2 linked regions of the Rattus norvegicus genome follow. The protein of the gene in region 1 interacts with the protein of each later gene in a pairwise test. Links are inferred from orthologs where the notes say so. Each region holds a gene or a part of one and is shown on either strand. Other genes may lie near its edges. The genes, in order: Rad54b and Ribc2.

Evidence for each region.
Region 2: the proteins of Rad54b (region 1) and Ribc2 interact in a two-hybrid assay, tested with the Homo sapiens proteins (2 studies listed by BioGRID and IntAct). The two-hybrid records come from large-scale screens. The link is inferred for Rattus norvegicus from reciprocal best matches to the Homo sapiens genes RAD54B and RIBC2.

The regions. Positions count from the first base shown.
Region 1 is NC_086023.1:29,828,286-29,832,536, forward strand, and holds the start of Rad54b (fibrinogen silencer-binding protein), read left to right. Parts: upstream 1-1,179; 5' UTR 1,180-1,263; intron 1,264-4,072; exon of another isoform or gene 4,073-4,251. UniProt on the Homo sapiens protein: Involved in DNA repair and mitotic recombination. May play an active role in recombination processes in concert with other members of the RAD52 epistasis group.
Region 2 is NC_086025.1:118,121,053-118,125,629, forward strand, and holds the start of Ribc2 (RIB43A-like with coiled-coils protein 2), read left to right. Parts: upstream 1-1,714; 5' UTR 1,715-1,886; coding exon 1,887-2,000; intron 2,001-3,141; coding exon 3,142-3,223; intron 3,224-4,424; exon of another isoform or gene 4,425-4,527; intron 4,528-4,577. Other genes in the region: Smc1b (structural maintenance of chromosomes protein 1B), read right to left, coding at 1,465-1,573. UniProt on the Homo sapiens protein: Microtubule inner protein (MIP) part of the dynein-decorated doublet microtubules (DMTs) in cilia axoneme, which is required for motile cilia beating.

The sequences.
Region 1 (4,251 bases):
GAACTCAGAGTGACAGAGAAAATTGGTTTCCCATAAAATTAGTTTCCCTTACAGCCCGTTGGGTTTACTCTGTCCCTAGCTAAACTCTTGTTAATACTCTCAGCTGCATCCTGGGCCATGGTCAAGAGAGGACATGTGGAAGAATGGATATGATTTTCTGACAGCCCGTAGAAAAGGAGGCACCATAGCAACTGCTGAGTAGAGGCAGCAGACAACAACTTCCCCCACCTAGAGCAGCCAGAGGGGACTCCACTCAGGTGAAGCTGGGATTCTTGATTTGTCATAGAAAATAATTTCAGAAGTCAGTCTGAAGCCAAGTTTTAGTTTATTAAGGGATCTTAACATAGATTTAAGCAAGTCTTTAATTGAAATAGTAGCTGTTAGGGACATAAGTGTGGGTGTGGACATCTCAAGAGAAAAATATGCGAGGCTGGTGGCTTCTGAAGTTACACTGATCAAAGGTTTCTAAAAACCTGTGTTTTTGGAGGAAGGGTTTACTTAAGTTTTATGTGTATAGGTGTTTTGCGGGCATTTATGTTGGTGCCCTACATGTGTGCAGTGTTCGAAGAGGCCAGAACAGGGTGCTTTTTAATTTTGGTCAAACTTGTATAAAATCCAGCGAATGACCTTTAAACACTCTCTTTTCAAACGTATCTAACTCCAACTCCAGATTTTTTTAGGGCAGAAAGATTGGTGTTATTGTAGCATTTGGAAGTTCTTTTGGGTAATGCTTTGAATGATACCACGACCTTGTCTACGATACTTTATAAATAGTGTTTTTTTTTTAAATCAAAAGGAGCCTTTCTCTTTTTCACGAGATTCCATAATCACGCATTTGTTTTTCTACTCCTAGAACTTAAAAGGGCTTGTAAAAGATTCTGCAATTACTACTCAGTGTCACTTAAATAACAGGATTTCATGTACCTCAGTGATGCACACACTTCTACGATCCGAATCATAATTTACTGATTTAAGTTGTGAGGTTTGTCGCTTCAGCTAGAATCTGAAGACTGGAACCAAACCCATAGGTTTTGGATCTAAGCAGTCAACCGGAACCAACCCTAGATGCAAGTAAAAGGAAGTGCAAAGGTTCCAGAGTTCCGACAGTCGTCCAATCAGAGTCGGGGGACGGAACCGGCGTGGTGGTGCGCATGCCCGGCGCCGGGTCGGCGGTTGGCTGTATGAAGGCGGGAAGCTCGAGCTGGCCGGCCTAAGGCATTGCTACTTGCTGCCGGGTGCTCGCGGTTTCAGTCAGCTTGCCGGGTAAGTCTCTGCCGCGGAGACCCGGGGTGGCGCGTGCGGTGCCTGGTGAAGGATGGCGCAGGTCCTGGGAGAGCGGGGCGGCCAGAGCCCGGGCGCTGGCTGGCTTGGGGCGGGACAGGGGGCGGGTCCTGCGGGGTCGCGGGGGCCGGGGCCCGCGAAGCCGCCTGGGGCCTGAGAACAGCAGGTGTCAGCCAAGGGGTTGTAGAACTATCCAGCGCCTTTCCTAGACGATGCACTTACCGACTGGTTCTCTCTGCTCCCTGCTTCCAAAAACAAACAAACAAACAAACCATTTACATTAATTATGGAGGATTTTGTAGGAAGGTGGACTGGAGTCCCGAAGCCTAAGGAGAATTTACAGTTTGAAATGGAAATCTTTGGCTACAAGCCAGAAAGCTGAAACAGCAAGGGAGGTCTTTTGCTGGCTGGTGGGGTTTTATTTATTTTCTAGCATCCTAGAGTTTGCCACACCCTTTCCTCAGTGAAGTCCAGAGGAAGGCAGAGATTCTGGCTACGATCCTGTAGGCAGAACTACATCCCTCTGTCTTTCCCTTTCATGGGACCTTTGTTGTTTCTACTTTCTACTTTCTTAGGATTTTGTGGATTAAACAGGCAACAGTAATTATAAGTAATAATATTACAGAAAGTATTGAGTACTGTGCACCAAGCTTTGCTCTAAATTCTTAAAATATTTCATCTCACGGTTGCATAGTTGTATGCTTAAGTGTGATTAAGAGTGATTAAGACACAGGAGAAAACACATGCATTTAAGCTAACTGCAGAATCACCTGCTGGGAAAGTCATTGGTGCACAGTAATTAAGGCACACACGATGTGTTCCTGATCTCAGCCTAGTCTGGTCGTTTTCCTGGGGTGACCTTATCTTAGCCAAAGATTCAGTCAGGTGCACGAAATCCTAGCATTTCAGTAGAGATGCCAAGTGGCTTTATTTCTAGGGCGTGTAAAAAAGGTCTCCGCAAAACTAGTTTACAAACCAGCTACAGCCTGGCAGGAGATAGAAGATCTCAAGTTCAAAGCCAGTCTGGGACCTACAGAGAGCCCTTGTCTCAGAAAACAAAACAAACTAGTAAAGATGTCAGTATTTGTGGGGAAATAAACTGATTTCTGTAGTTTACTTTAAAATGCACCAACAGATTAGATCAACAGACCACCAGTTTCATAATTTGATTTAAGATTTTGCTAGTAATGATGGTTTGTATTTGAAGGAACCACAGAGCACGACCTCCACCCAAATCTTTTAAACTAGTAAAAACTGACATCAAACAGTTAACGTATTTCACTTTAACATTAATGAAGCTGAATGTCCAGCTATCAATGCAACGATGGACTGTTTTTGAATATAAGAAATAATGGTATATTTGAAAATTGGTGGCATTTCAGATATAACAAAATATGATAAATTTAACCAGTCTAGTTTATTATAAAGATAACATCATCTTTGTGGGAAATTTGAAATTTGTAAAGAACTCAGAATAAAATCACTTGTTATTTCTAACATGTAGAGATAATAAGTGTTTTCATGTCATAGGTGCTAGTCTTATCATGAAATTCATTTATATTTCTTAAAATTTTATTTGTATTTATCTATTTGTGTGTGTGTGTGTGTCTGTGTGTGTGTGTGTGTGTTTCAAGACAGGGTTTCTCTTTGTAGCCTTGCCTATCCTGGAACTAGCCCTGTAGACCAGGCTAGCCTAGAACTCACAGAAATCCCCCTGCCTCTGCCTTCTGTGTGCTGGGATTAAACTAGTGTACCACTGCTGCCACCGCCACCTGGCTTGGATTTCTATTTTTAGATCAATTTCTAACAAACTTCTTTTTGGAGTGGGAAACAATGGGGCAGTTTTATTGCCGCATGAAGAGTGCCTGGGGAGTGGACATATTCGAGGGGCCTAAGCTGTTAGTTGGGACATGCGGAGTGCTCCTAAGGATAAGGTAGAATTAAAGAAAAAAGCGTCCCAGCTTCATCAGAGGAAAGAGTGGTCAGAGTCTAGAGGAAAAGAGAACTCGTCTAGGTGGAGGAGCCGACTCAGAATGTTAGGAGCTCGTGGAGACTGTTCCATTGTGAACATGGGTGGATGATTTATCCATCTAGTGCTGTTATGGATAAGTGGCTCTTTTTTTTTTTTTTTGCTATAAGTGGTACTAAAGTACTTGTACATAATCATTTAAGCATATTTTTGATACTTCTTTATAAAAAGAGTCAAATTTCTGAGTTAACCAAATGATTTTGGTAACTATGTATATGCTGGGCAGTGTTTTGTAAAATTGCAGCGAAGACTAGCTGCTCCCAGCTTGCGCTCACTGGAGCGCTCGCGCTCTCGCTCTCTCTCTCTCTCTCTCTCCCTCTCCCCCTCTCTCTCTCTCCCTCTCCCCCTCTCCCTCTCCCTCTCCCCCCTCTCCCTCTCCCTCTCTCTCTCTCTCTCTCTCCCTCTCCCCCTCCCTCTCCCCCTCCCTCTCCCCCTCTCCCCCTCTCCCCCTCTCCCCCTCTCCCTCTCCCCCTGTCTCCCTCTCCCCCTCCCCCCCCCCTCTCTCTGAGGTCCAAGAATCCATTGGTTGTTCAGTCCATGGCTGGATGTCTCAGCTGGTCTTCAGTGTATGCTGAGTACACCGGAATGCCAGTGAAGGGATGAACTAACCAGGGAGAGAGGGGGAGGGGGAGGGGGAGAGCCGGCACAAAGAGCAAACTTCCTTCTTAGACCTGGATTAAAGGTGTATCTTCCCACTTCAAAATATCAAGATTAAATGTGGGTCTTCCTATGTCCCATGATTTAATTAAGGAAAAAACCTCTCACAGTTGTACCAGCCACTTGGCTTTCAGTTAATTCTAGATGTAGTTAAGTCGACAACCGAGAATCCTCACGGTTCCCGAGGCAATGTGTATAAATAGAACATTATATCTAGTTCCAGAGGGTTAGAGATTGTGACCATCGTGGCAAGGGGCATGGGAGTAAGTAGGCAGGCTGCTGTG
Region 2 (4,577 bases), on another chromosome or scaffold:
ATTTTTATACTTGGATCTGGACAGGGATCTACAATGTCTTGGTAATAATGGCTCATGGTGCCTAAACTTGGTGAGACATGACTAGGATTAAATATGTGCTTCCTTCTAGGAGTCTGGAATTTTGGTATGTGCTAGAAAAGGGCATGGCCATCTCCCTGTGCACTGAGTGTCCATGAGATTCTTTGGTAGGTGACATTTCAACATGAGAACTTACTGCTGAAGGAATTTATCTTTTCCCACTGCTGAGTTTGCTTTATACCTCTCAACTGTAATGCATAATAACCTTGAGTAAACAATAAATCAAACACTGAAAGATCTCTTAGCAAATCATTAAACCACAGGGTAGTCGTGGAGATCTTCACCCAATGGTAGATTTGCTATATAATGAATATTAAAGATGAATCTGTTCTATCAAAACTAAAAAACTTTTAAGTGCTCAGACTGAAGACATCTGCAGTGAATGATTTAAACACAGCACTAGGAAAACTATTCCAGAAATTAACGTTTAGGCTCTAAATTAGGATCTATGTTTGGGTTACAAGTGCTTTTTTTTTCCAACAAAGGACAAATCCATTTCATTCTTAGTACTTGCTGCTGTTGGGCTGAGATGGGATTGGGGGGGGGGGGTTACGAGACACGGGACTACAGGGCAGGAGGGCCAAGGGGGGATGAGGACAGCCAGCAAGGGTTGGTGGCCCAGGATTCTGGGCTCTTGGGCATAGTCCATTAGCAAACACTGAATCCTCAGGCCAGTGGGCCCTCAGGCCCTTGGGTCCCATTTAGGCCTACAGCGGGTGAAGGAGAGGGCGTGGATGGGCTGGGGGGAATAGGTGCTCGGTCCCCTCAGGCCAACAATGGGGTTACAGAGGCCCCTGGATCCCCTCAGATAGATGGGGAGCGTGGGGAGGTGGAGGAGGGTTACAGACGGACTGACTGGGCTGGGGACAGGGTTTGGTTCCCTCAGACCAACAGTGGGTCCCTCAGGCCTACAGCAGTCAACAGCAGGGACTGGGGTAGCTCCGTCCCCTCAGACCAACAAAAGGTCCTTGGGTTCCCTTGAGCCTACAACAGTCAACAGTGGAGTAGGAGCAGGAAGGGGGCAGTCAGCAGGCAACAGCGAGGCCCTGGAGTTGCCTCGGTCCCCTCAGGCTAACAGTGGGTGAGGACAGGCCCCCGGGTTTCCTCAGGCCGACAGCGAGCCCCCTCAGTCTAACATGGGACCCTGGGTCCCCTAAGGCCTACAGAGGGCCTGGCTCCTCTCCGGACTACAACGGCAACAACGGAGTTGGGGTTTGTGGTCTCGGTCCCCGCAGACCCACAGGAGACGACAATGGGGGCTGGGGGTGGCTCGGTCTCCTCAGGCCAACAACAGGCGAGAGTAGGTCCCTGGGTCCCCTCAGGTCTACAGCGGGCGACTGTGGCCCGTGGATCCCCGAGGCCGCGGATTTCTGGGGTGCTGGTTACCCGAGCCGTTGGGGCCGATGATACAGGTGAACCTCTTGAAAGGGCCGATGACCTGGCGGCCTCGCCACGACTTGAAATTCTCCACGAGCAGCAACTCAAGGTGCCCCATGGCTGCGCTCCGTGCCTCAGCCGCTCCCTCGTGCGCCCGTGAGAAAAGCGCGGGAAGAATTTTTCTAAGTCTCGCGAGACTGGCGCGAGCGAGCGAGGCGCCGTTGCTTAGCAACCGAGGTTGGCGTCTCCCGGGGAATCCGATTCCTGCGCCACAAAGATCGTTGCGGAAAGCGGACTGCCTGTGTCCGCTGGGACAGACTTGCTCTCAAACTTTTGTGGGCGCTGCTTCTCGGCGCTGTAGCTTATTTCTGTGGGCTTTTCTTACCGTGTTTGTTCAGAAAGCCCCTGAAGCCTTGCCAAACTCCAGAGCCATGGAGGTAGCAATTCCTAAAGACCTACAACAGGAGGCCAGCCTAGCCAAGAAGCGGTACATGGACCTGTGCAGGCAGGGACAGATCTTCGACGCCAGAAACAGGATCATTGGGGTGAGACACTTGGAACGGGACAGAGAGGAGCCAAGGCTCTGATGGAGCCTTTATTTGAAAGCACCAAGTTTGGCCGGGTGGACTTGGAAATCCTTACCTGCTCAGGAATGGCCCAGCAGGAGCCAGTTCCCCAGGTGACAAATGCCCTGGGTCCAGGAAGTGAGAGACCTTTCACTACTGTGAAAGAGACAGACTTTAAAACACAGAAAATGCAGTGGGATCCACACCAGCACCGACTGGAGCCTGGAGGGGAAACAGAGAGGGCTTCACAGAGGAGTGTTATTTAAACATTGATAAGTGGATATTAGCCCAAATGCTCGAATTACCCTAGATGCACAGAACACATAAAACTCAAGAAGGATGACCAAAATGCGGATGCTTCACTCCTTCTTTAAAAGAGGAACAAGAATACCCTTGGGAGAGAATAGGGAGGCAAAGTTTAGAACAGAGGTTGAAGGAACACCCATTCAGTGCCTGCCCCACATGTGGCCCATACATATACAGCCACCCAATTAGATAAGATGGATGAAGCAAAGAAGTGCAGGCTGACAGGAACCGGATGTAGATCTCTCCTGAGAGACACAGACAGAATATGGCAAATACATAGGCAATGCCAGCAGCAAACCACTGAACTGAGAACGGGACCCCCGTTGAAGGAATCAGAGAAAGGACTGAAAGAGCTTGAAGGGGCTTAAGACCCCATATGAACAACAATGCCAACCAACCAGAGCTTCCACGGACTAAGCCACTACCCAAAGACTATAAGTGGACTGACCCTGGGCTCCAACTGCATAGGTAGCAATGAATAGCCTAGTAAGGGCACCAGTGGAAGGGGAAGCCTTTGGTCCTGCCAAGACTGAACCCCCAGTGAATGGGATTGTTGGGGGGAGGGCGGTAATGGGGGGAGGATGGGGAGGGGAACACCCATAGAGAAGGGGAGGGGGAGGGGGATGTGGGCCTAGAAACCAGGAAAGGGAACAACAATTGAAATGTAAATAAGAAATACCCAATTTAATAAAGATGGAGAAAAACAAACAAACAAACAAAAAAACAATGTTGGGGACGGGGTGGGGTGGGGAGAGTCGTGGCCTACTGAATACCGATAGCTGGCTCTAACCTCTCTTCCCTTTAACATTCCTAGGGAGACACACAAGCCTGGGATGTTCAAGTTCGTAACCAGAAGATAAAAGAAGTAACTGAAAAAGCTAGGGATGAAACCTTTGGTGAGCATTTCTAAAAGGCCCATCTATCTTAGGGCCTCATGTCTTTCTTTTTCCATGATTGAGAAAACCATGGCATCTGCTTTGTGTCTCCTGGGCCCTGGGACTCAGTGGCCTGACTGTTCATGAGTGCACACACAGGAGCCCGTGCACACGCACACACACACACACTCATGCACTCAAGCACACACTCACGCACAGGTGTGAGCACATACACAGAGTTATCATTTTTTTTCGGAGCTGGGGATGGAACCCAGGGCCTTGCGCTTGCTAGGCAAGCGCTCTACCACTGAGCTAAATCCCCAACCCCCAGAGTTATCATTTTTATGGTCTTTCTCCTTTTAAAATTTTGTGATTTCTTGTGCTCAGTTAACTTAATAAGCATATCCTTCCTCTCAAGAAAAAGAAGTTATTGAATTTTAATGTACATCTTAGGAGACATGTTTTAAATAAAGTTAGGATTGTTTTGTGTTTTCTTTAATTTTTTTTCTCTAAAAAGGAAAAGCTTTAAGTACATATGTACCCATTCTCTGCTTCAAAACTTAACACTGGCCTAGGGAGGACAGCTGCTGATATCAAGTGACACTTGCAATGCTGGAGCACGAATGAATGCACACACATATACCCGCTCATGCACATACGTGTTCGATTGCACACTCATACACACGTGGTTATCATTTTCACTGTCTTTCTTTTAAAATTTCACACTTCCTTGTGCTCGGTTAACTAAGTGGGCATTTTCTTCCTGTCAAGAAAAAGCAGCTTTGAGTTTTAAGTTCTGAACCATCTGGGTGATTTACATGGCTCAATTCGTGTCCTAGGTCCTAGATCAAAATTCCTAACAGAATCCAGTCTTCCTTTCTTGGCCAGCAATTTCACCAACTGTTGAACATTTGGCTTTTTTAAAAATACCATAGGGGCTTTTAAATATAAAAAAACTGGACATACAAATTTTTAGAGACAAATGGGCCACCAACTTACGTCTTAAAGCATGATTAGAAAAAGACAGAATCCGTTGTCAGCGGTTAATGTCGGAATAGTTGGACTATGAGGGAAATTGCCATTTTTTTATACTATTATACATTTTCCAAACTTTTCAGCCTTGTTTATTTTGATTTGTAAAGTAATTCAAACACCAACATAACAGACACATGCAGCTGCCACTAGGCCTCTGGTATTCTCCTTTAAGAATTCATTCTGGTGCTTGCTTCAGCAGCACCAATTTAACTAACATTGGAACGATACAGAGATTAGCATGGGCCCTGCACAAGGATGACACGCAAATTCGCGAAGCGTTCCATATTTAAAAAAAAAATTCATTCTGAGAACTGTGTTGTATATAGCACAAGTGCCCCGT